Linked DNA regions of Stegostoma tigrinum. The protein of the gene in region 1 interacts with the protein of each later gene in a pairwise test. Links are inferred from orthologs where the notes say so. Each region holds a gene or a part of one and is shown on either strand. Other genes may lie near its edges.

Region 1 (12,811 bases):
ATCTACCTCCCCCAACCCCACCCCTCCTCTCTCAATTTCTGAGCTCCCTTCCCCCTCTCCATTTCTGAAGAAGGGTCCTGACCTGAAATGTCAGTTTTCATGTTCCTCTGATGCTGCCTGGCCTGCTCTGTTCCTCCAGCTCCACACTGCATTACCTCCACCATTAATCTCTGTCTCCTGCTATTAAGTCAATTATGTATCCAGTTGGCAAGCTCACCCTGAATCCCATGTGACCTAAATTTACTAGTTAGCCTACCATGTGGAACCATGTCAAAGGCCTTAGCAAAATCCAAACAAACAACGTCTACTGCTCTGTCATCATTAATGTATTTGGTAACTTCCTCAAAAAACTCACTCAAGTTTATGAGACATGATTTTCCTCACACAAAACCAAGCTGACAATCCCTAATCAATTTTTGCTTCTCTAAATGTCTATGAATCCTATCTTTGATAATCACTTCCAATAATTTGCCCACAACCAAAGTTAGACTCATAGTATTATAGTTTTCAGGCCACGTTTGGAGTATTTTGCGCAGTTTTGGGCCCCATATCTCAGGAAAGATGTACTAGTCCTGGACAGCGTTCAGAGGAGGTTCATAAGAATAGTCCCAGGAATGGAAAGCTTAACACATGAGGAACATCTGAGGATTCTGTGTCTATATTCAATGGAGTTTAGAAGGAAAAGGGGGATCTAACTGAAACTTACAGAATATTGAATGGCCTGGACAGAGTGGATGTTGGGAAGATGTTTCCTATGGTAGGAGAGACTAGGACCTAAGGGTACTTCCCTTAAACTAAAGGGAAGACTTTTTAGAACAGAGATAAGGAGAAATGTATTCAGCCAGAGAGTGGTGAATCTATAGAATTCACAGCCACAGAAGGCTGTGGAGGCCAGGTCATTGAGTACATTTAAGATGGAAATAGATAGGTTCTTGATTCTCAAGAGGATCAAGGGTTACTGGGAGAAAGTGAGGGAATGGGGTTGAGAACTTAGCAGCCATGACTGAATGGTGGAGCAGACTCAGTGGCTTGAAAATGCCTAATTTCTGCTCCAATGTCTTATGGTCTTCCCCAGTTTTTCCTTATAACCTTTATTAAAAAAAGGTACAACAATAGCCACACTCCAGTCATCAGGCACCTCTCCCGTAATTATAAATGATGCATATATTTCTGCAAAGGGTCTCATAATTTCCTCCCTCACTTCCCACAATGTTCTTGGATACATTAGATCTGGTCTCAGAAATGTATCCATATTTATGTTCTCTAAGACCTCCTGAACCACTTCTTCTGTAATTGTGAACTGTTTTTAAAACATCAAAGTTTATTTCTCTGCATTCTCTAGTCTCCACTTCTTTCTCCACAGAAAGAAAAACTGATGGGAAATATTCATAGTATCTCTCCCATCTCCTAAGGTTCAACACAATGACAACCTCCTTGATCTTTAAGAGGCTCTATACTCTCTCTAGTTACCCTTGTGCTCTTAATGTATTTGTACAATCTCTTTGGATTATCCTTAACCTTTTTTTGGTTAAGTGCTATCTCATATTCCTTCTTTGCCTCCCTGATTTCTCTCTTAAGAATGCCCCTACACACTTTTTATATTGATTAAGAGATTCAGTTGAATCAAGTTGTTTGTATCTAAAATAAAATTCTCTTTTATTCTTGATTAGAACTTTGGTGTCTTTATTCATCTATTGTTCCTTAATTTTACTAGCCTTACCCTTTAATCTAACGGGAACAAAACACCTCTGAATTCTTGTGTCATCACACTTTTGAATGCCTCCCACTTGCCTGATGTCCCTTTACCTGCAAATAGTCTACCCAATCAACTTTTGAACGTTCTTGTCTCGTACTTTTAGAATTTGCCTTACTCCAGTTAAACTAACTTTTTTGGAAGGCTCAACCTTTTTCATAACTATTTTGAAATTACTAGAATTATGATCGCGAGACCCAAAGTGTTTCCTCACCTTTACTTCAGTCATTGCCCTGCCTTATTGCCCAAAAGAAGGTCTAGTTTTGTCTTTCTCTAGTAAGAGCATCCACATATTGAGATAGAATTTTTTTCTTGAACACATTTGACAAATTCTTCACCATCCAAACCTTTAACACAATGTAGCCCCAACCAATGTTTGGAAAATTAAAGTCCCCCATTATTACAACCTTATTATGCTTACATATATCTGAAATCTCCCTACATATTTGTTTCTCAGTTGTCCTCTTACTGTTGGGAGGGGAATGGGGTGGGTCTATAGTACAATCCAAGTGATCTTTCCTTTCTTATTTGTTATTTCTACCGGATGGTTTTCCAGCAATATCTTCCCTAGTTACAGCAGTAATGTATTCTTTAATCAAAAACATCACTGGCCCCTCCTTACTAGCCTAATTTTCTATGCTTCCTACAGCATCTAAAACCCAGAATACTGAGCTGCCAGTCTTGTCCATCTCTTAGCCAAGTTTCTGTAATGGCTATGAAGTCTCAATCCCACATTCTTAAACATGACCTGAGTTCATCAGCCTTAACTGTAAGACCCCTTGCCCACTGAAATAAATCCAATTTGGTTCTTCAGAGCTACTATATACTCTGATTCTCTCTTGTCTTTCTTTGCTAATTGATGCAGTCTCCTCACTTTCAGAACCTTCCCCATTAATCCTTCTGTTTACACTGCTACTTAGAATTCCTCCACTCACCCTCGCTATCAAAATAAAGTTTTCCTTTACAGAATGAGCAAATTTCCCTGCTAAGATATTGGTCCCTTTCCAGTTTAGGTTAGAACCATCCTTTTTGAACAGGTCTATTCTATTCCAAAAGACATTCCAATTGTCCAAAAACCTGAATCCCTGAACAATGCACCATTTCTTCAGCCATTGATTTATCTCCTTTAACCCTTTGTTCTTTCCCTCATTTGAGTCTGGCATTGGGAGTAAACCAGAAATTACTAACTTCAAGGTTCTATTTTTTAATCATCTAACTAATCTCTTAAATTCACTCTGTACTGCTTTAATCTTTTGCCTCAGGATGTCATTTCTACCAACGTGTCCAATAATTTCTGGCTTCTCAATCTCAATTTTAACAATATGCTTGAAACATTGAGAAACCTCCTTAATCCTAGCACCAGGAAAGCAACGAAGAATCCTAAATTTAGGCACACTGCCACAGAATCACTTGTCTATGCCCCTGACAGAAGAATCTCCTATAACAATAATTCTATTAAATCTTGTCAAATGCTGCCTAACATATGAATCATTCTAAGTGTCCAATAACAGACTGCCCATTCCATTTTCTTTGGAGAGACTATCCCCTTCTACAGTTCCAAAAACTGAATATCTATTTGCTAGAGGAATAGCCACTGGAGACTTTTGAGCTAACTTTGTACATCTCTTGACACTCACTACTAGGCCCTCAGTTGATTTTGTTCCTTTGCACCTTTAAAAGGTTCACTTTTCCTTCTTATCCGAGTCCTGAACTTTCTAGATATCCAGGGTTCTCTGGACTTGTTGCTCCTACAATTCACCCTAAAGGGAATATGATGGGCTTGTACTTCCCATTCCCTAGCTTGGGAAATGCTTACACTTAACTTCACTCTTTCTGAAAACATCAATGCCCTGAATGTAGGGAGAAAGGCATTAATTCAGGCCGAGATTTCAGACTAAATTCAGTGAGACTCATAGCCATCAGAAGGTCAGCAGAAATTAACTGTAATCCTGGGACATAGTATTTTATAAAAGGTGGAAAGTTCAGGCAAAGATTTGGATAATGATAGAAAAACAACCATTTTATAGCATCAAATTGCTAAGGTGCATTTTTCAAGTTTAATTGGCACTGACCATACATTTACAGAACTGGAACAAGTAATTAAGTGAAGTGAGTAATCTAAGTGATACACACATCTTGGATAAACATGAGCAGAACATGTCAGGTAAAGGGCTGACTCAATATGGAAACATTAGTGCTAATGCTCAGGGTAGGGTTATAGATCCCACAGGCTGGAACTGAAAATCAGCAGTAAAGCGAGAGGAATGCCACCATGCTAGGGACAAAGGGAAAGCCACCAGCAAATGTAGACATTGGCTAAATATGCAGGATAAGGGTTAGAACGTGAGGTCTATAGGTTGGCAAAAGGAAACTAAGGTGTGAAAGTCCAGAAAATGTAGTACAAGTTTTGAAAGTGTACCTGAATGTGAACGTAGTCCTAAAAAAAAATGGAGTGCAAGAAATGGATTTCTGGCCAAAGGAAGGTGAGATCTCATAGTTCTAGGACAGAATGAGATAGGAGGGTAAGTAGAGGACATAAATTCACATGAACAAAGATGATACAGGCTAGGAATGCCATGAGAAGTAAGTTCTTGTGACTGGCAAGTTTTAGTGGCTGCTAACAGATTAGAAAAGTTTATAAAGGACATCAAGCAAAAGAGTTGGAAAACTTGAAAGAAGTTGTGTGTGTATTGATGTACTAGTCAGGAGACAACGAACTTTATCACATAGTTGGATATGTAGAATAACAGTATCTTGATGGTACATAAAGAAAAGGCTAAAGACAGACTGCTGGCTCTGAGTTTTGAAGAAAGACTTTGTGATCAAATTATTGGACTTGATTCCCCGACAGAAGGAAAAGGAAATATGAAGATTTTGTTGGCTCTTTTAAAATGCAATTCATTGCAATGTAAATTGACTGATGAAATTTTCGTGAGTGGAAAATTTTCGAAAGGAAGTCTTTTTGGTGCCAGCTAAGAAGGCTGTCAATTTGGAGAAGAATATGTGGGAATTAAACAAATGTGTCTATGGTTTGGATGGTTCATCAATGATGTGATATTTCTCCATTAGGACCATCCAGGTGAAAGAGGATTCGGTCAAAAGTAGGCCTAGCTGTATTTTACTCGTTTCGCTAGGAGAAACTAACAAACATCGTTGTGATGCACGCTGGTGATTTGCTAGAGGCTAATTTTGCAGAGTTCAAGTGATATGTGATAGATAACATTAAAAAAGTACTTGACTGTTGGGAGCAAGTTTCAGGGACCTTCAGTTACATAGGACTAGATATTAAGCAGAATAAGTCAAGAGTGACCTTAGATCAACCATCATACTTAGAACATATCATTTTCATACCACTAAATACAACCAGGTCATCACAGAGCGGATCCTACATCCAACAAAGAAGTAGACACATTAAGGAGTTTGACTGGACATTAAACTGGTTCTGTACTCAGACTCGATAGTAGATTCGCCAACTTTAGGTACATTTAAGTTGTCGTTGGATAAGCATATGGACGTACATGGAATAGTGTAGGTTAGATGGGCTTCAGATCGGTATAACAGGTCGGCACAACATCGACGGCTGAAGGGCCTGTACTGTGCTGTAATGTTCTATGTTCTAAATCCAATGCCAGTTATGATCCATTGGAGCCTCGTACCATGTTAAAACATGATACAGTCGAAGGTTCACTGAGTGAATACAATAGTGAAAAAAAGTAATTCAGAGAAATGTGCACTGCAGTTTCGAGCCTTGGGAAATTCAGCAGAAATGAAGTTAGTCATCTTTAATCTTTCATATGCTAATCTTCCAGATGGATTTTCTAGTATAGGAGAGTTTATCACATTCTTGGCGAGAAAGAATGACAACTATTATTCATGAGTCAGGGGAGCTAAGAAAATCAAAAGGGTAGTTTAAAGTATCCTAGTTGCTGAAAACTGGCATAACTGGAAACCATAGGTATAGGGATATGATTGTCTAATATTCTGGTGGAAATCCAAGCAAGGGGCAACCTGAGAGAACATTGTCTATGTAATGTTATCTGGATAATCCTCCTCTTTGGGACAGATGAACTATCCATTGAGTCTTTACTGGAATAAGCAATTAACAAACCAAGGAACAGTGGAGAACCTACAGACCTCAGACCACCAGCAAGACAGTCTAACCAAATTCTATCCAACAAATGACCATTCTTTGAAGTATGAAGAGAACAGATTTGAGGAAGAAAGTGAAATTTCCAGATTATCAACGAATAGTGGTTATTACAATGTATAAATACATCCATAACAATAATAGTATGAGGGTAAAAGACTTGGATGGAGATGTTATAAGAACAGTCTAATATTTGATTGTATGTAGTAAAGGCATGCTGTGAAAATGTAATTACGACAAAGGCAGCCTAACGAAGGAGTTGGTAGACACAGTTGGTGCTGCGTACGCATAAGTCTTAATAGAAATGTGAAATGTGGGTCATACTCATGTAAACCCTGCATTGCTGTGGTAATGCAATAGACCTCCCAGTGATTACTCCCTAGGACTCCTCCAGTTGGACCAAAGAAGTGATTATCATCATGTACACAGTACCACCTCGAACTACATAAAACAAGGTTACGGTCAATGGCAAAACAAATTAATTTTGAGTTAATGATGGCGGAAGAGCGAGAATCTTTCAGGACATAAAGAGGAGCACCCTAAGGGAAGGAGAATTATACTTTGAAGTACACTCGCGACAAACAATGAGAAATCAATTCATGTTTTCATCTAATTATATTGCTCATTGAAATTGAAAATTGAGGGTATTAACAATGACTGATTTAAAAAAACTCAAGACTGGAAGGCGCGAAGAAACGAGATTATGACGGGACCTTGGGCAGCTGATACATGCTACAAGCATTCGGGTGTGGAGACCGTAGGTTCTGAATGGAACATTCTCACCCTAAATCATACGCTGTATTCTTCTCTACACTCAACATGACCAACCTGCCGTGCATAAATTTCTATTCAGATTAAATTACTGGCAATACCGTGCAAGAGACCAGATAATTCAGTGTTTAAACGGATGAGATCATCACGTTTTAAAATAAATGCGTTCAGACTTTTAAAATAAAAACTTCGTCTCGCCGGTGGGGGTGGGTAACAGGAGGATCTCTCGCAACCTTTGAGTCAGGGTTGGTTTCTCTGAGCTCTCATTGCGTTTGACCTGAGGCCATTCGGGCGTTTCCGTGCGGACCTGTTGCCTGTGTGCTTTTTTAAAAAAAACGAGTGCCTAATCCTCGGGTGTTTCCGTGCTGCAGCTGGAAGTCCGGCGGAGCGGAGCCGAGCTGAACTGAACTCAATCTGAACGATTGGAGGTTTCGGGAATCTCCGCGGGCCCTGACTTGACTGATTGAACGCTTGTAACATGGCGGCGGTGATGAAGGGAGTGGAGTTGAACATCTTTGGCTAAAGTAAAAGAGAGAGACAGAAACGAGAACGATTCTTCTGCTGTTCGAATTTCTATCGAGTAATGGACCCGTGGCTTTCTGCAACACGTGCGCCAGAAGAACGTGAGAAAAAAGTGCAACAGAGGGAGCAACCAAAGGAATAAGTTTATAGCAACGCCGGTTTGGGCAAGGAATAAAAGTGCGAAAATGTCGGATTCTAAGGTGAAAGTTGCAGTGAGAGTCCGGCCAATGAACCGACGAGGTAAGGAGGAGTTTAAAATCCAATACAAGAAGCAGTGTGGTTCTCGGGAATGTTTTAAGAAAAGGGTCTTTTATTTGAAGTAACAGTTAATAGTTGGGGAGATGGATACGCAGGAGTTGTAGGCTGTTTGGTAACGTTGTGACTGATGTTCTGTACAGAGCTGGAACTCAACACCAAGTGTATAGTGGAAATGGAAGAAAATCAGACTGTCCTTCATCCACCGCCTTGTCCTAACACGTCCAAGGCAGACAACAGGTAACAGCCGCGCTTCCCAACGACAGACTCTTTTTCCACTGCAGCCTTCCTTCCCTCCCCGATCCCAGAAAGAAGGCTACGATGCAGATAACTTATTTCCCCCTATTTCTCTTTCGTTATGCCCTCACGAGAATTAACGCCCCAAGCGTGGTTTAAAATTGGAACTCTGCACAACAAAAATCTGCTGCTCGCATATAAAAAGAGGGAGGAGGGGAGAGCGTCTCTGACGATGGAGACCACAAACGGCGCCAGCAGCTACTTCTAGTTCGTACGCTGCTGAGATTAGAGAGTCCCGAGTCGGACAATCAGATATTTATAAACAAGTTAAAATCAAAATATGTTCAAAAGGCACTCGTAGCATATATAGATATATAATATATTACACTTGTTTGGATGGTTTTCCATCTTTTGTTAAAAGGAGAAAAGATAATGTTGGCACACACCCAATTTCTATGGTCTGTTGCGTTGGAATTTTTTTGGGAAGAGAAATGGAAGATTGGGGGCTGGGAGAAGAGACTTTTGTGACAAGTTCCAAAGAAATAAAGAAATGTGGCATTACTATTAAACAATTGAAGAGAATGAATGGTGACTGGACTGCAGTCTTATTTAACTCCTTTGTTTTACTTTATTAAAAATAAAGTTGACATTATCTTTTTGTATTTGCTGTAATCTAAACGAGCGTCTCGGGGTGTGTTTTGACTATTGAAGGACGATAGCATTAAGATTTTTTTTTGGTTTGGAAATCCAGGTGACGGTACAGAGACTGCCGTGCTTCTGGGTCCGCTCTGTAGAATCTCCCTGCACGGGAGGCATTTGTAAAATTCCTTGGCTGAAGCTGGTTACTCACTGTTGTATTCAGTTTGGCTGGAAATTGTTGGATTAGTGTTGCTCTTTTTAATCGCAAATTTGTCTGGTCTGTTTTAAGAATCGGCATTTTTTTTTCGAGGTTCAAGATTGATTATTGATTTGTGTAATCCATCAGATTCAGTCACTTACTTTTCAATTGGCTTGTGTAGCGACGACGCGGAACAAACCTACAACCAACCGCAGCCTAACCTGCCCTCCCATCAAACGAATCCCAGTCACTAAAATATAACTGTTTGTTTGAAAAGCAGGTGCGGCTTACTGCCTCCAGTTTACTGATTGCTCCTCTCAGCGATTTCGTGCTATCATGATTTATTTGTTTTCCTTTGAGCGGACCAAATGCTTGTGTTCGGGCGTTATTTGGCCACTAAATGAGCACACTACACTTAGTTGGAGTGGTTTTAAACCAAGTTATTACATAGCTTTCGATCGAAAGGGCTCTCGCACTGTAGGCATGTTTGCAACATACAGAATGCATTTGACTCTTGCAATCTAAGCATCTGTACTTGGAGTTATTTACAATATACGGGAGACCACATACTGCGTAGATTTAAGTGTTTAGACCGAGATCTTGTGTACAAACCCGGCTGGAAATCTAATGTTTGTGTCTAGTCGCGTCACTCGCTGCTTTAACTATTCGCAGTACTCGTTGTCCTTCCATGTTTTAAATTCCTAGTTCATATTAAAATAAAATTATCAAAATAATGCCTAGTCATCTTTAATGCACTGTGGAATCCATGTGTAGTAGCATATTCAAATTGCAACTGCATTATCATTCATTAAGCATTTAATTGGAATTCAGCCCATGTACTGAAAGAATTGGCCATTTGTATTCTATTTGCAGGATTTTAGGTCAAACAGTTTCCGCTGTCTTTCCCACTCCCCACCAAACAGCTGGGCCGAATGGCAGTGATGGAGTCTGTGTGCTTTATGTTCTATGCACTTTACTTTTTTTGATGTGGTGGATGGAAATGAAGTTGAAGTCCAAAGGCACCTTGAATAGGAGACAAGGTCATGGGCCCTAGGTCTTTTTTATTATCAAGTAGATGGCCACCCACAATTAGAATAGGCGCATGTACTACTCAGCAATTCCAGCTTGATGTTTTGATCATTGTTGAATTCCTTTGCATGTAAATTCACAGGCAGCATGAGGATAAGAAACAGCAAATCAGTCCATTTGGCATCTTCCTTATTTCACCGTGGCAGTCATTTTTTTCACATGTAACACAGTTTTTGGGTCTGTTGTATTGATCAATGGATTATTTAATCATGTAATCTGAAACAAGGAACGTTTTCCTAATATCAGTTTCATATTTTTTTCATCAATGCCTATTTATATTCTCTCATACTGTTTTGTGCTTTGTGTATTTCTCTTCTCCCAACTCCTTAACAGACTAAGCTACTAAACCTGTATTAGTTCCATTTAAGCAGTGCTCTGAATTTCCAACATTTTGTTTTGATTGGTTCGGGGTGAGATTTACCACAAGCTTTTACATTTGTTATAGGTAGTTATGTAATTCAGTTGGCTCACCCTTTTGTCTTTAGAGTCTAGACTGCATAGTTTGAATTTCTCTAATCGTTTTTCCATAGCTTATCCCATTTCATTTGGATCTGTTTTGTTGCATTTTGCACTGTTTCTGACACAAATCTATTTCTCTGTGAAATATTCAAAGCTGAACCTAATACATTGATTTGCACAGAAGAGAATGAGGAATATAAACTTCAGCCATTGCTTTCTCTGTTTTTAAATTATTTTACCACTTTGCCCATTGTCTGGACACTGAAATTGATATGTCTACTATTAGTTCCTGTGACTTTTTATCCAGGTCCCTTTGTTTATTAAATTTAATTAATTGTACACTGTTCCTTATTTTATATATCCTCCTAGGCATTTTGTACATTGTATTTCAGCCTTAAATTTAATCATATCTGTCTGTGTTTTGATTTCAAGTACCTCTGCAAGTTATTCAGTGGGTCCTGTATTTTTGCCATTTTGTCATCTGTAGATTCAACTAGTTCATAGTTTTGGCATTTAGGTCACTTAAGTTCACTGGAAATTATAATGGTCTATGCACTGACACTTGTGGGACATATAATGAGTACTGAGTGCAAAGATTTACTTGCGTTTTGAAATTAATGATTTAGAGTTTCCCTGTATTTTTTAATTGGCTTTAGTTGTTTGCTTAATGTTTTACAAGATTTCAGTATCATACAGATGTTTGATTTTTTATTTTCCATCAACCTATATTAACTTTGTACTTGCCAACTTAAAATGGCCACTTAAAGCAATTGTGTGGAATAAGTATGGTCGTCTTTTCCCTGGCCCTCTCTTTGTTATGCGCTCACTTCACGAAGATGAGCACGTACTTTACTACCAGTTTACGAGCCTTGAGCATTGTTGGTAGAAATCACTCTGCTGAGTTTCAGAACTGCTTGTTATAAGTTTATGTAAGGCAGTTATTAATCTAACATTTTGATTAGTCATGGGTAATTCTGTTGAGGAGATGTGGCATTGTTGTGGTACAGTGGTAGTATCCCAACCCCGAGCCAGGAGGCTCAGTTCAAATCCCACCTGTTGCAGGGGGAAGCGCCTCTAAACAGGTTGATTGGGGGGGCAATCCAGGCATGGATAATGAATATCCTGATGGAATATTAAAATGAGCATAATTTAAGCAGAGACCCTATCCACTCTGCTTAATCCAGTAAATGAATTAAACTTGACAATCTAAGACTCAAGTCTGCAAATTACTACAGTTAATGAAAAAATATTTTTGATACTGTTTGAGTTACTAATGAATAACCTGAAAATATTTTGGCAAGGAAGGGTGATTATTAGTGTAGGCCTTGGAAGGCTGTGTCAGTTTTCTAAATATCGTGCCGTGGCATAATTTGTTTGAGAGAGAATTTTGGAGTATGTCTAAGCATAATTTAAAAATAAAAGATCAAGGAACATCCTTTCTTCGCATCTCGTAAAATCCATTGTTCAGTACTTAGCCTAACTTGTTTTAACTTGAAGGCAGGTTGTGATGGGTGCATTTGCTAGCAGATTGTTACATTTGAAGACCTAGAAACCTTGAGATTCTGTCAGTTTTTGGCCAGAGACTGAGCATTGAAAAATGTTAGAACATTGAACGGAACCTACAAAATGTTACAATATCTTTATTTAGATTTATGTACATTTTCTTGACGTTGCACTCAAACATGTCTGATTCCATGTGTGTATGCTGAATCTGTTCCTTCTTCCCCAACATCTGTTCTGACCATGACATTACCTCTGATTTGGCAGAGTTTGTCCAACATCCAGTATCATTGGGCAGAAATCCTGTTCATAAATATTGGGAATATCAATGCTATTGTATGTGGATTACAGTAATGATACCACATCAAACAGCTAACTTCATTCCAGTCTTGGCTAAAGTGTAAGGCTGAACCAGACTGTTGGCAAACTTAGTATCCTGTCTAATCGTGAACTGCCAACCTCTGATCCTTTCCATCTTGGAGATTGCCTCCATCTCCCATTGGAACATATTTGGCTTGTTTGTTTGTTTTGTGTCCTTGTTGAAACCCTCATTTGTACCTTTTGATACCTCTAGATTTGACTGTTCATATCTTCTCTGAATGAACTTTTTGTCTTGCACCAACTTGAACTCATCTAAAACTCTGGACTTTTGTCAGGATGCTGTAGCTTAAGACCTCATCAGCCTTGGTTTAAATGTGGCCAAATGACTGACTTCCTGTGGTGAGAACACACTGATTATTCATGACATCAAGACAACGTTTAGCCAAGTATAGCATTAAGGGATATAAGCAAAAATTTGAAGTCAGTTGAAAATGGGGGAGCAAACTCTAATGGTTGGAGCCCCAACTAATACTATTTACAAAGGTAGATGTTTAGGGTATTGGGTCCAACCATCGTCAGCAACTTAATTCATTATCTTTATATACACCAGTAAGATGAGAAGTCTGGATGTTCACTGGGAAACACTCATGACCATTTACAACTCCTGATGTGCTAAGCAGTCTGTGCAAAGCACAACTTTCTTCCGATGGCTCCTCTTGAGACTTCTCAAGACCTCTTTTTATTTTAAATGTAGTGTAAGGATTACATATGTTTTATTTGAAATATAAACTGGAAAATGGAAGCTTTTATCTCTGTTGCAAAGAATGAACTATTTTTGCAACTTGAAGCAAAAGTAGAACTGCTGTTCATTCATTTGGTTACCTGTATATGTAAATTTTGGAGAAGCTGCATTTGATAA
Region 2 (12,989 bases), on another chromosome or scaffold:
AGCTTTTCCTCCCTTCCCCAGTAAGTTAGCTTCAAATTTCTTTTCCTGGTTCTCAGACATTTCTGTATTTTATTTTTATTCATTGGTGGGATGCGGGCATCATTGCCCACCCGTAGTTGCCCTCAATGATATCTTGCCAGATACGTTGTGGTCTGTTTCTCTAATATTAAGGTACATTTTGTTTGTTCGTCCACAACACTGTGCCTACTGCCCTCTCTGGAACTGGCTGTCTGCTTCTTGCTGTCTTGTAGCCTACCGCCTTGTTCTAAAAAATCTCGAAATGTTTCTCTTTAATTTTGCCTTTGAATTCCCACTCTCCTTCTCCTTTTTTACATATTTTCCCTTCATTTTAAATTCATTTCCAATTTTCATATATTATGTAATTGCACAATTTATGGGGAAAAAGATCAGGTAAAAACCAAAATCCAAAAACAGGTGAATAGCCCCAAAGTATTTTGCAGCCGATTACAGTAATTCTTCACCGCTATAAGATATGTATTTCTGTAAGAAATATATATTTTTATAATCAATATTTTCAGAGCCTTTTCCTTCCTTTCTAAACCGACATTAAACCAAAACCTACAGAAATTAATCGCAAGTTCCTTCGTTGGACACTCAGTCATGGAAACCAGTAGGGCCCGAAACGTCAGCTTTTGTGCTCCTGAGATGCTGCTTGGCCTGCTGTGTTCATCCAGCCTCACATTTTATTATCTTGGGCTCCATTTTGAATTCTGATTTAATGATGTTATAAGTGGCCATACATCAAAAGTACACCATTCATTGTGAATCGTTTTGAGGTCCTGCAGCTCACAAACAGCAATGTATAAGCACAATCTTTATTTGGTCACTAATTTTGATCTGCAACAGTAGGAGAGTGACCATATGGGCTGAAATTTAAAGCCCTACGCTGGCATGTTTGAAGCTGCGGAGGCCCATATAAAATAGAATAAGCAGCCAATCATTCACCACCCTTGAGCTTTTTCCCATATTGCAGAGAGAGGGAAATACTTTACAGGCAAACCCACACACCCGTCCACTCCTATAAGACTATTGAGGGCCTTCAGTGCACAATCAGCTGCAACTTAAAGGCTTCATTCAACCTCCGATGCAATGTTTCAGTCTGCAGGGCAAGAGAGAAGTGAACAGAACAGCCCAACAACCTCAACAGCATGAGTTCTTGTTGTGCAGGAAGAAGCCCCTCGTTTCAGATGATCCCTTGTCTGTATTGGGAGGCAGTCTCACTGAAGATGTACATCTGCTTTTGGCTCCCCATGCAGACATCTCCAACTCAATCCCTTTCTCTGCTTTCCAACAGTCCACTTGGCCAACCACAACTATGCTGAGGTCTCCCAACCATACATGCCTAAAGTTCTGAACCACAAGCTTGGAGAGATCTTCACTTCCTCAGGATTGTTTGTCCCAAAGTGTTCTTGGAGGTTGCAATAAACCTGTTGGGCTATAAACTGGTGTCGTGTGATTTCTGATCTTGTCCCCAAAGTGGTCATTGTTGACTCCAGGTGGTGCTAGGACAACAGAGCTAATGAGCAACTTGACAATCTGATTAGCTGGTAACTCACAGGGCTGGGGAGGGTTTTCCTGTCCCTGAAGGGTGGATGTTGCACTCTTAACTAATTATGGATGCCCATTGGGTATTGTGGTTGTGGGGATGAGGGTAGGGGTGGGCTTCCAGATTTCATGTCATAAGGTTTCTGGGTGACTTTTATGATGTGGAGGATTTATTCTGTCCCCTTGTAAAATCTACGTGCGTCTCCATGCAAACGTGAATAAAGTCAGTCAGATTTCCTATCCCTGATCACCACCCCGCTGGGTGGATTTTATGAGGTTTAATTTTAAGTCAGGATGCTATTAGCTTTCAGCTATGATGTTAGATTTCTCAACATTGCCCAAACATAATGCAAAAACTAACAGTTGAGATATTGGAGAACTATTGGTTCTAACAGAATTATGCTCTAGCACAGGTTGTGGTTTTTGGAAGAAGGAAGAAAACAAATTTGATAAAATATCTGCTTAATATTTTTTGCAGTCAATTGAAATATTATATGAATTTTAAAAATATGCTGTTGAAATCCTACTTTTCAGTTATTAACAGAATAAGCGCTCTAATTTAAGAAAATATTATAAGGACATTGATTTTGCAAAATGCTAAGAAGGAGAATGTGTGGAAAAATTGTATGTTTTCAGCCTCAGCAACTCAAGTTGTGAAAATCTGATAAAGTTTATTGTTTTATACCAACACTGTAATGAATCAAGCTTATTTATGCTAATGGATACAGGCAATTATTCAGAAACGGCGATGTGCGAGTTCTGGAGGTGGCAGCTCTCTTTATTTCTGCAGACATCCCAATACATGCATAGTAATAAGAAATGCAATTTATAAGAAAAGTTAAACTTCTCTCTCTTGGTCTCACAACCAACTGGAATTTTCACGGGTGTTATAAAACTGGAACGTTTCTTGCATCAATGCTCCTGCAAATCTGCGCATTTTAAAAGCAACATCATTTATTTCATCAATAGTAAACTTTGGGCAATTGGGAACAATTTGCCAACTGTCAGAGAGAAAACAAAAGCTCCATATTATGGTGAGGTAAACTTTTCTCAAGCTTCTCTATCCACTGTCTCTCCTTCCCAAGCTTCCCCTTTCAGCTCCATTTGTGATACATGGGTGCTGCAAATCTCTTCATACTCTGTATTTGAATCACGCTCCAGTGGCTGTAAATCTTTCCAGCTCCACACTTTCATATGGCTAGGGCTGCTAATGGTCTCAGAATAGCCAGAAGACTAGAGGATTCACCCTCAATCTACTAGTGGCTATTAAATTCAATCCAGGAGATTTTTAAACATCAGGATTCCTTTAATTTACTCCCAACAATAACAGAGTTTACTTAACTGAAAGGTGATGTGCGCTTGCACTTGTCAGCAGTGTCTCACCTGGGCAGATTGAGAGGAAAAGCAGTGTTCAGTTTTCACCATGCATATGTCCTTTACTTCTAAGCCTATTCTTCAATAACACTGAATACCCTTGTTCTGAGTTCTCAATCTTGGTCACCCAGCAACTATGAATCTGCAATAGCCTATCAAATCATATCCATTGATTTTGATTTGCCTAGTCCTTTTGAAAGTGCTTTCTGCATTCAAATAAAGGAGTTTAAACTCTGATGTTTTAAACCTTATTACTAACTATGGATCTAATCTTGTTGCACTATTTTGCAAATATTTTCTACCCCTTCCCATCACATTTTGATTATTGTTCACCTCCTCACTGTCATGCACCTTTGCTCTCTTGACTCTAGTTGACTTTTCAATCTTCCTTTCAATTGAACACTCACCACTTCCCACGAATTAGTTTAAAGGCCTATCTACAGCCCTAGTTATACCATTTGCCCCAGCATTTTTCAAAAGAAGCCTGTGCCAATGGAACAGCTTTCACTTTCCAGTGAAAGTACCAGTGCCCCATGAATCAGAACTCGTTTCTCCTACATCAATCTTTGAGACACACATTTACCTCTAATGTTATTTACCCAGTGCCAATTTGCACACAGCACAGATAGTAGTCTGGAGATTGTTATCTCTGTGGTTAACTTTACCCTGAGCTGTTCTTATTTCCTCAGCAGAACACTTTCTTGGTCCTATCCATGTTGTTGGCCACAATAACTGGATCTTTTGTCACCTACTCCAAGTTTCTATCCAGACCAGAAGAGTTGTCCCAAACCTCAGCGCCAGGTAGGCAACACACCCTTCAGGAATGCCTGTCTTTGCTACAAAGAACAACATCAATTTGCCTAACTATGCTCCCCATATTACTACTACATTTTCTTTTCTCCTCCTACTTAAATGGTGCCCTGGACCAGTGATCAGTTCACTCATCCTTCTTGTACCCTGTCCAGACTAGCAGCAAGAACCTTGCATCTATTGGAAAAGCTCAGACTCTAGTGAATCGACTCATTGCTGAATTTCCTCAAGCTGTATTATATGGTGAGGGAGTAGTCTGGGACATTGTTCATAAACTATGATTCCTTGAGTATATGCCAGGCTGTTGCTCAGTCTCTAATTGTGGTACTAATCTGTTAGTGAAGGCGATTTTTCAGAGTTGAAGGGCTGAACTTGCTGTTGTCATTTCTAGAGCTTTTGTCAATGCTCAATGATCCATCCATTTTCATTCTTTTGTTCCCTTTTTGTCACTTTCTAGCAGTTGATAAATCTAAACATTACATCGTAGGACAGTTATGAGTCAGGTGGTTGTGGGTTTGGAGTTGCATGTAGGCCAGGCCAGGCAAGGATGGCAGATTTTCTTCCCCTAGGTGGTATTAATGAACTGCATGGGTGTTTTTCATGATCATCAACTGTGGTTTCAAGATCATCATTAAACGTTTAGTTCAAGATGATTATTGACTTCAAAATTTACCACTTGCCATGTTGGTATTTGAATCCCTGGTTCCCAGTTCTGAAGAAATGACAGGACTTAAAACATTAACTCTGTTTCTTTCTCCACAGATGCTGCCAGACCTGCTGAGCTTCTCTTACATTCTCTCTGTTTCCCCCAGAATATTACCTGCGTCTCTGGATTACCACCTCAGCAATAATTCCACTGTCCCATTGTCTCTTCACAAGCTCTTTTCCAGAAGGATACAGTTTTCCCTTCAGAGAGTGCAATAAAAGCTAAAGAGTTAATAAACATGATAAAGGCAGAATATATCCCAGTTCTGTTGTACAAAGTGCAACTAGGAAGTGAATTGTTATCTAGAACATTCATAGAAGGAGCCATGAACAGAGTTGACTTTCTCCTGTGATCAGAGTGAAATTTATACCTTTGCCAAGAATCACAGTACATCCAATTGAGATTAGGTAGATAAAACAGCTACAGAAACAGGTTCCAGATATTTTTCCATCAAGTGGTGACCAGCACAATACTAGCCAAAATCCATCACCAGAGGATAAAGTAAGTGCAATCAAGTTACAGTAACTGAAGCTGTCTTTAAGGGTGGGGTGATTCAAAAGAAGTGTTTAAGACCATAGACATAAGAGCAGAAGCGGGCCATTCAGCCTATTGAGTCTGCTTTGCCATTCATTGAAATCATGCCTGATTTGATAAACTTAAACTTCATTTTCCTGTCTTTTCCTCATAACCCTTGATTTCCTGAAACTCTACCTATTTCAACCTTGAATCTACTTAACGATCCAGCCTCGACAGCCATCTGCAATAAAGAATTCCACAGATTCATAATGCTCTGAGAGGAGAAATCCTTCCTCATCTTTGTCTTAAATATGCATCCCTTATTCTGAGACCTAGGTCAAGGATCAACTACCAATTGAAAAATGAACAATGCTTTACATCAACAGTGTCATCACTCCTAAAAATAAAAGGATCTATAGGAAATTATTTAACATGCTGGGGCTCTGGCTGTTTGATCTTCAGATTTTATTCCCTGTTTACATGTTTTTCCAGGCATGTGCCAAACCATCTGTCTTTTGTTTGTCTAAATTATGAATAAGACTGTTAATTTTTAGCTTTTTAAAAGGGTATTGTTTAAGACGTATTGCAGCAGATTAGGGACTCTCTCCTATTTGTTAAAGTTAATGGAGTTGCAACAAATAGACAAGTATTTCCTATTAATGATGAAACCGGGTGAGAATTACTTTTGATCTGAATACAGCCAGTTCAGCAACTTGATCATTTTCGTGGGCTAATTTACATTTTACAGATTTTGGTGATGGCTTGCAGAATTGCAGAACATAATCAACAGCACATTATTCCCAATTAAGTCATGACATCATGTTTATCATCACCAATTGGTAATCTTCATAAAGGGGCTGGAGACCGCTGCCAATATGTATAACTATCATATGATGTGTGCCTTTCTCTACTCAACTGACGAAGGAGCAGCAATGTGAAAGTTTACGCTTTCAAATGAACCTGTTGTACTACAACCTGGTGTTGTGTGACTTCTGACCTCAGATCTCGGCTCCTTTTGACAGATGTGTGCTGGAATCCATACAAGTGCAAACCTATAAACATTTGTTAAGTATTTACGCTGTTTACAAAGAAATGGCTGAGAATTTTTTTCCCTCAGATCCCATTTCTATGTGATCTAAAGTGGACTGACACTGCTACTCTGGCAATGGCAACTATTTGTTCCTTCTGAGCACTTGTCAAAAAAGGACATCATTATTCACTTTTTGAGCTATTGGTGCTTTACAAATTGTTTTATGCTCGACATTAAGACACTAATGGGGTTTATGAACCAATTTTCAACTTGTTTTGTAGGGGAACGGCAATAAAATAAAAATTAAAGCAAAATGTTATGGATGCTGGAAATGGAAAAGAAAATTAGAAAGTGTTGGAGAAATTCGGCAAAACCAGCAGCATCTGTGGTCAGAGAAACATAACGTGAAAGGACTTCTGAAATCACACTGGCCTGGAAAGATTTGAGATAGTAGGAACTGCAGATGCTGGAGAATCTGAGATAACAAGGTGTGGTAATAAAATGTGAGGCTGGATGAACACAAAAGGCCCAGCAGCATTGCTCCTGAGATGCTGCTGGGCCTGCTGTGTTCATCCAGCCTCATATTTTATTATCTTGGATTCTCCAGCATCTGCAGTTCCCATCATCACTTTCACAAGGTGTGGGGCTGGATGAACACAGCAGGCCAAGCAGCATCAGAGGAGCAGGAGATTTGACTTTGTTTACATTTCTCTCTCTCTCCACAGGTGCTGCCAGACGTGCTGGGTTTCTCCAGCACACCCTATTTATGTTTTTTTAAAAGCAATTATTTTTGCAGCTCGACTCTTAAGTTAGGAGATGATATGGGTTTTGATTTTGGGGCAACCTCGTCTAACAGTGAACTTTGCTGCAGGCAGCCTGCATTGCAACTGCTGGGGGAGCTCGGACCTGGGGCAGGATCCGGGGGCGTGGTCGGAAGCTGGCCCCGCCCCCCGCCTCGTGGCGCGCATTGTTTCCGGTTCAGCTGGGTGACAGCGCAGCTTGGCGACGGGCGGACATCTTGAAGCTTCAATTGGTGTTCGGAGGACGGAGTCGATCTGGCGGGGGCCCCCTTCTCGACCGGAGACTGGACTTTCATTTCAGCCGAGTGACCGCGGGGAGGTGGGTGCTTACGCTTCTCTTTCTCGCTTTCTACATTCCCCCCCCCCCCCACCCACCATTGTCCGCCTGCTGAAAGTTAATTTTTCTGCCGTGGCCGGAAGTTGAGATCGAGTGAGCTGGGAGTCAGGAGTCTGAGGTCTGGGGTGTGCGGTGGGGGTTGAGCCCTTTCCCGGGGCGCGCGCGCACACGCAGTCGCTGCCCTCTATCTACCCGGCCTCTGGGGCCAGGACCTTACCCAACCTGGGCCTCCAGGACCCCGAGCAGGTGTAGGAGACTGTGAGCCGCCCCCTTCCCTCTCTCCCGCCCCTCGGGCAGACATGGCAAACCGGACGCATTTCACTGTTAAAATTTAATATTTTTTGTAAATCGTGCGTGTTCCCTTAATAACACAGTCATTCCCTTTTAAATAGCGCCCTTATCTTCACCACATTCTCCCACCCCCAACTGTTTCTTCCTACGGTCTCCCTGATTGTGATTAATACAGACTTGTGTTTAAGTCCTGTCTCAAAGCTCTTGGCCCGGCGAATGTCTTTGAAGTGCAATCGCTGTTGTGCTGGCAAACGTCAAGTAGAATCACAGTGCAGATAGAAGCCATTCTGCCCATCCAGTCTCCACCGGCCATCTGAAATGCTGCATTGACTAAATGACCAGAAACAAGGAATTGGGTCGTCATGCTGATGGGCAAGCTCCGTTTCCTCTTCAGCATTGAAATTTAACTGAGCTCAGTTTGCCCTGGCCGGGTAGTGACAGGAAAATTCTGATCTCCTTGACTCCACATCGATTGCTGTTTTGGTGTTAGGTTCAATTTGTGCTTGTAGCAAATGACAATCCTGGATCTTCTCGGTTTGAAATTGTTTGTTTTGTCTCTTTTAAGAAACAAAGTCTTCATTACTAAGGTCTGAAGCTGTTTTGTTCATAAATGGATATGACTGTTTTGTATGCACTCAATGTCAACTTTAAAATAGAGTTCAACTACTTTAATATACTTGCCTATGGGTAATTTCGGGCAATATTTGTCTAATGCAAAATATGCAGGAACCAAATTGGGTAGCTTGTTTCGATGATGTGATAGGTTGAATGGTTCTGAAACATTCAAATACTTATTACACTGTCCTTTATAGTACAGATGCAGGCTGTTCAGTTTAATGTGTTTATTCAAGTGTTTATGCTCCATGCAAACCACTTCCCACCCAATGTATTATTTGCATTTTGTGACTTTGTTGACCTGTTTCTACTTTTATTGATTTGTTTGTATCCCTACCCCACTTAAGATAATTTTCCAAGGGAAATGTGACTTGTTTATGTCTACTACCAGAGTACAACACCCCTCTCATATTTTGAAATTACTTTGCCATTTACACATCTATTCTACAGATTTTTTGAGCTTGTTTTTTATTTTGGTGTAATCTTTCTTGCTATTAGCCATATCTCCCAAAAAGGTATCTGCAAGTTTTGATAATGCAATTCTGATTCTTTTCATTCTTCGATAATTTTTGCATTCATGTACAGAAATGGTCCCTATACCAATCCCTATGGAGGACCACTACCATAAGATCAAATATAGACCATTTGGTCCATGAGGTCCTGTTTGTCATTCATTGCAATCATGGCTGATCTGATATCGTAACTCCACCTTCCTTATCCCTATAAATCCTTAATTCCATTACTAATTATAAATATGTCCATCTCAACCTTTAATATACTTAATTACCCAGCTTTGACAGCCCACCACAGCAAAGAATTTCACAAATTGACTACTGTCCTGGAGAAAAGTTTTCTCCTCATCTCTGTCTTAAATGGACAACCCTTACTCTAAGATTGTACCCTCTGGTCCTAGATTCCCTCACCTTGATAGTCTGTAACTCCTTTGAATACTTTTTGGTTTATATTCAGTTTTCGATTTGTTCTGCTACTTGTCCCCAGAATCTGCATGCTAGCCTGCAGGCATAAGCCTCTTATTTACCTAAATGAAAGGTAGTTTGAAAGTCTATCTAATATTGCACCTGCTGAATTAACTTTACTCTTGCATTTTATGACTTCAAAGAACTCTGTAAACTGACTGATGTGTGTGCAGTTTCTAGATGGTTGGCATTCACACTTGAGTAAATATTCCACTTTTTAACGATTAATTTTTAGTTAACTTCACAATAACTCCTTATTTGTTCTATCGCCCTTTTGAATACAGGAATAATATTGATTGTCCATTTATTTTCCTGACCTGGTTTGCTATTCTATGGATTTTATTTTGAATCTGCCAGCTCTTAGTTCTCTTTTAACTGTGTGGATGTAGTTAATTTTGAACAAAAATTAATCATTTCTAAATTTAATTAGTCCAACAATTATCTTTCTCCATCCTAATTATCTGTTTTTGCTTTGGATTTCATTTTAATGCTATATCTGTCAGAATGTCATACAGCACGGAAACAGATACTTTGGTCCAACGCGTCCATGCCGACCAAGTTTCCCAAAATAAACTAGTCCCATTTGCCTCTAATTGGCCCGTACCATCTCTAAATCATTCCTATTCATGTACCTGTCCAAATGTCTTTTAAATTTTGTAACTACATCTGTATCTGCCACTTCCTCTGCTAGCTTATTCCATATGCGCACCACCCTCTTTGTGAAAACGTTGCTCCTCCAGTCCATCTTAAATCTTTCCCCTGTCACCTTTAAGTTAAGCCTCCAGTTTTGAAGTTTCCAACGCCAGGGAAAGCACCTTGCTATTCATTTTATACTCAGTTTGTAAGCCTCTAAGGTCACCCCTCAACCTCCTTTGTTATTCATTCTGGTAAAAACTAAGGAAAATTAACTATCATGGCTTCTTCCATTTCTTTACACTAATTTGCACTGAGATTCAATCACCAATTGGCTCTGCTCGCTGAGCTACTTCTATTCCCAGTCCAGCTATGGGACTTGTAATTTCAAAATTCTCCTCCTTATTCTCTTGTCTCTGCGTGGCATTACCTTTCTCAACAGCTAGCCTCCCCACATGTTGAGATTTTTGAATGCATCCACTTGTGCTCTTTGATTTCCTCAATTTTAATTCCTCTACCTTCAGTCATTGAGCTTTCAGTTTCCTAAGCCTTGAACTTTGGAATTCCTCCTTATAGAATCCTTACAGTGCAGAAAAAGGCAATTTGAGCAATTAAGTTTGGAACGACCCTCCAGAAAGCATCTCACCCGGACCCACTTTCCCATCCTGTCCCTGTAACCCTGCATCTACCATGGCTAATTCAATTAGCCTGCACATTCCTGGTCTGAGGGAGGAAACCAGACATCCAGCAGAAACCCACACAGACATAAGGAGAACATGTACAGTCACCCACAGCTAGTTTTCCTGGCGTCCCTGGTGCTTTGAAGCAGCAGTGCTAACTGCTGTGCTTGCTGCCCACTTCCATACTTCTCTACATCCATCCCCTTTTTAAATTGCAACTAAAATTTTGCCTGAATATGTTTGAATAACTTTTTCCTGTGAAGCCATGGAGCATTTATGATGTTAAGTGGTACACAAATGCAGAAAGTTTCAAGTGATTCCATCATCCTTTAATATTTGTATTGTCCCCTTCCATAATTAGATGGTCAACAGGTTACTCTTCTAAGCATGATCAAATCGCTCCTCCCACCTCCTAATTGACATGGAATCTTGTTTTTTAACTGTTCTTTTTATTTCTGATTAGTACAGCTACCTTTCCTTCACTGTTTTGTCTCTATCCTTTATAAGTGTGTTATGTCCTGCTGTATTTAACTGCCAGTCTTGTTCTCCATGTGGCCAAGTCTCAGTTGATCTTGCATCTGATTTACCACCACAAATTATTGCTTTGGATTCTCCCTGATACTGTATGCATTACAGTACAGCCAACTTAGTTTATTCCCATTGACTGTGCTTCCCTCCAACCCCTCCTTAGTAATGGTCTGTAAATGTTTCTGTTCTGTGACTGTTTATGCTTCTGTTATTCTTTTCCTTTACTCTCAGCAACTTATTTTCTGTTTCTGCCACATCTTCCTTCACCCCATCTTGCTGGTTTCAAGTCTCATCCCTAGCCTTAGTTATTCTTTTCACATTGACCTAGGTGTCATTCTGCACCACTATCCAGCACCTTCCTGTCTTGGTGACCCATAAAATTAATCCCCATGTCCTGCACAGCTGTGAGCTTTGCAATCACCTTTTCAGTTGTCAATTCTTATCAGTTAGTATGTGGCTAGGGTGATGCTTCTATACACATGTTGTTTTTCAATTTGTAACTCCCAGTGCACCCTCAGAAGGATCTTACTACTTTTCTGTATCAATGATCCTGATATGGACCAGGTCATCAGGGGCTACCCTCAACTCCCAGATTAAAAGTTGTGCTATTTTATGAATATTGACATATATAAGCAAAGTGCACACTATACAAAGTGTGCATTTTTTAACTTGAAAATTAAGTTACTGGATGACGATATTTGCACATTTTTGAAAGAATTACTGAAAGAGCTAAAAGGCAGGGGGAAGTAGCAAAACAACAAGTTTCATTACAGAGGCACTGTACCGTAACACCGATTAATCAGTAACTTTGTTTTTCCTGTTGGGAAAATCCACATTGCTGATTGAGCAGGAAAATCAACTACATTTTTTTTCTTTTCAGGAGCCTATCCCAGGATCACCATGACGGATTCTAAGTATTTCACAACGACTAAGAAAGGTAGAACTTTTCATCTCCCTCTCTCTAATCTAACAAATATAAATTTGTTAAAGTGTTGTCAACCTGAAGTAAACTTTCCAGCTTGTTTACTGTAACTCTTGCAAGACTAAATCTTTTTTGCAGAAAGAACTGGTTTAACACATCATGAAATTACTGGCAAGTCATTTACAATACCACGTTCAGAATATTCAATTCTAGTTCTCCCTTTCTTCTTCTGTGTCCTTTTTTCTTCACTGTAGAAGTTTGAAGAGTGGATCCGTTAGGAAGTGTAATATCCTGATGTGGTTGTGGTAGTATATTGACAGGTACAATGGTTTGTTCGTTGCACTGAAAGAAAAAATTCCAGTCTAATTCAAATGTTGGACACAAACAACTGAAATCACTTATTGCTATGATATCAGGTTGGAGTCACACCCAAGCAGGAGTTTGGAATTGTGCTTTCAACAGATATCAGTTTATGTAGCTTTGGCTTAGAGTTACTCATAGACAATCTGGTTTTTAGTGATGTTTCAGTGATACATCAGCTGAGATACTGGGAAGATCTTGTTCAATATTTGAATATTTCTTTCTTTCTTCTAGAGGGCTTTCAGTTTTGTCGCAGAATCATAAAAATTCTTGCCACACAGAAACCACTTGAACTGTTATGTTTATGCTGGCTGACAAAGAACCATCAAACCTAATATTTTCCAATTCTTAATCTGTATTCTTGTAGGTTGCACCATTTCTTACGTATATACTTTTCAAATACAACAAATATTCTGCTTATGCCATTCTGTTAGGAACAAAGATGTGTCCTTGTCTCTTCTCTAGTTTTAACTACCCTAAATTGTTGAACCCTAAAAGAAACAGCTCTGCCCTGTCCACTGTACTTTGATTCTTCATAATTTTATACATCCCAGTTAAATTTCCTCTGCAAAGAAAATAATCCCATTCATTTCAATTTTCCTTTGTAGTTAAAATGCTGCAGTCCAGTCGCAACCTATGTAAGTCTCTCCACAATCTCCCTCGTGGATCACATTCTTCCAGTAATGAGACCAAAACTGTGTATTCAGTTCCATTTGAATGATGGCACCGCTGACCTTGCGGCTATCCCTCAATGATACATTGAAGTGGCCGAGATGTACTGTTCAGGTTTAATGGCTTTCAAGCTTGATGTATGCATATGAATAACCCAGTACATACAAATACT

What was found.
Region 2: the proteins of kif13a (region 1) and ap1b1 interact in binary tests that used the Homo sapiens proteins (3 or more experiments, as listed by UniProt). The link is inferred for Stegostoma tigrinum from reciprocal best matches to the Homo sapiens genes KIF13A and AP1B1.

The regions. Positions count from the first base shown.
Region 1 is NC_081355.1:33,300,003-33,312,813, forward strand, and holds the start of kif13a (kinesin-like protein KIF13A), read left to right. Parts: upstream 1-6,942; 5' UTR 6,943-7,378; coding exon 7,379-7,433; intron 7,434-7,591; coding exon 7,592-7,688; intron 7,689-12,811. UniProt on the Homo sapiens protein: Plus end-directed microtubule-dependent motor protein involved in intracellular transport and regulating various processes such as mannose-6-phosphate receptor (M6PR) transport to the plasma membrane, endosomal sorting during melanosome biogenesis and cytokinesis.
Region 2 is NC_081379.1:21,048,957-21,061,945, forward strand, and holds the start of ap1b1 (AP-1 complex subunit beta-1), read left to right. Parts: upstream 1-6,977; 5' UTR 6,978-7,121; intron 7,122-11,743; 5' UTR 11,744-11,763; coding exon 11,764-11,800; intron 11,801-12,989. UniProt on the Homo sapiens protein: Subunit of clathrin-associated adaptor protein complex 1 that plays a role in protein sorting in the late-Golgi/trans-Golgi network (TGN) and/or endosomes.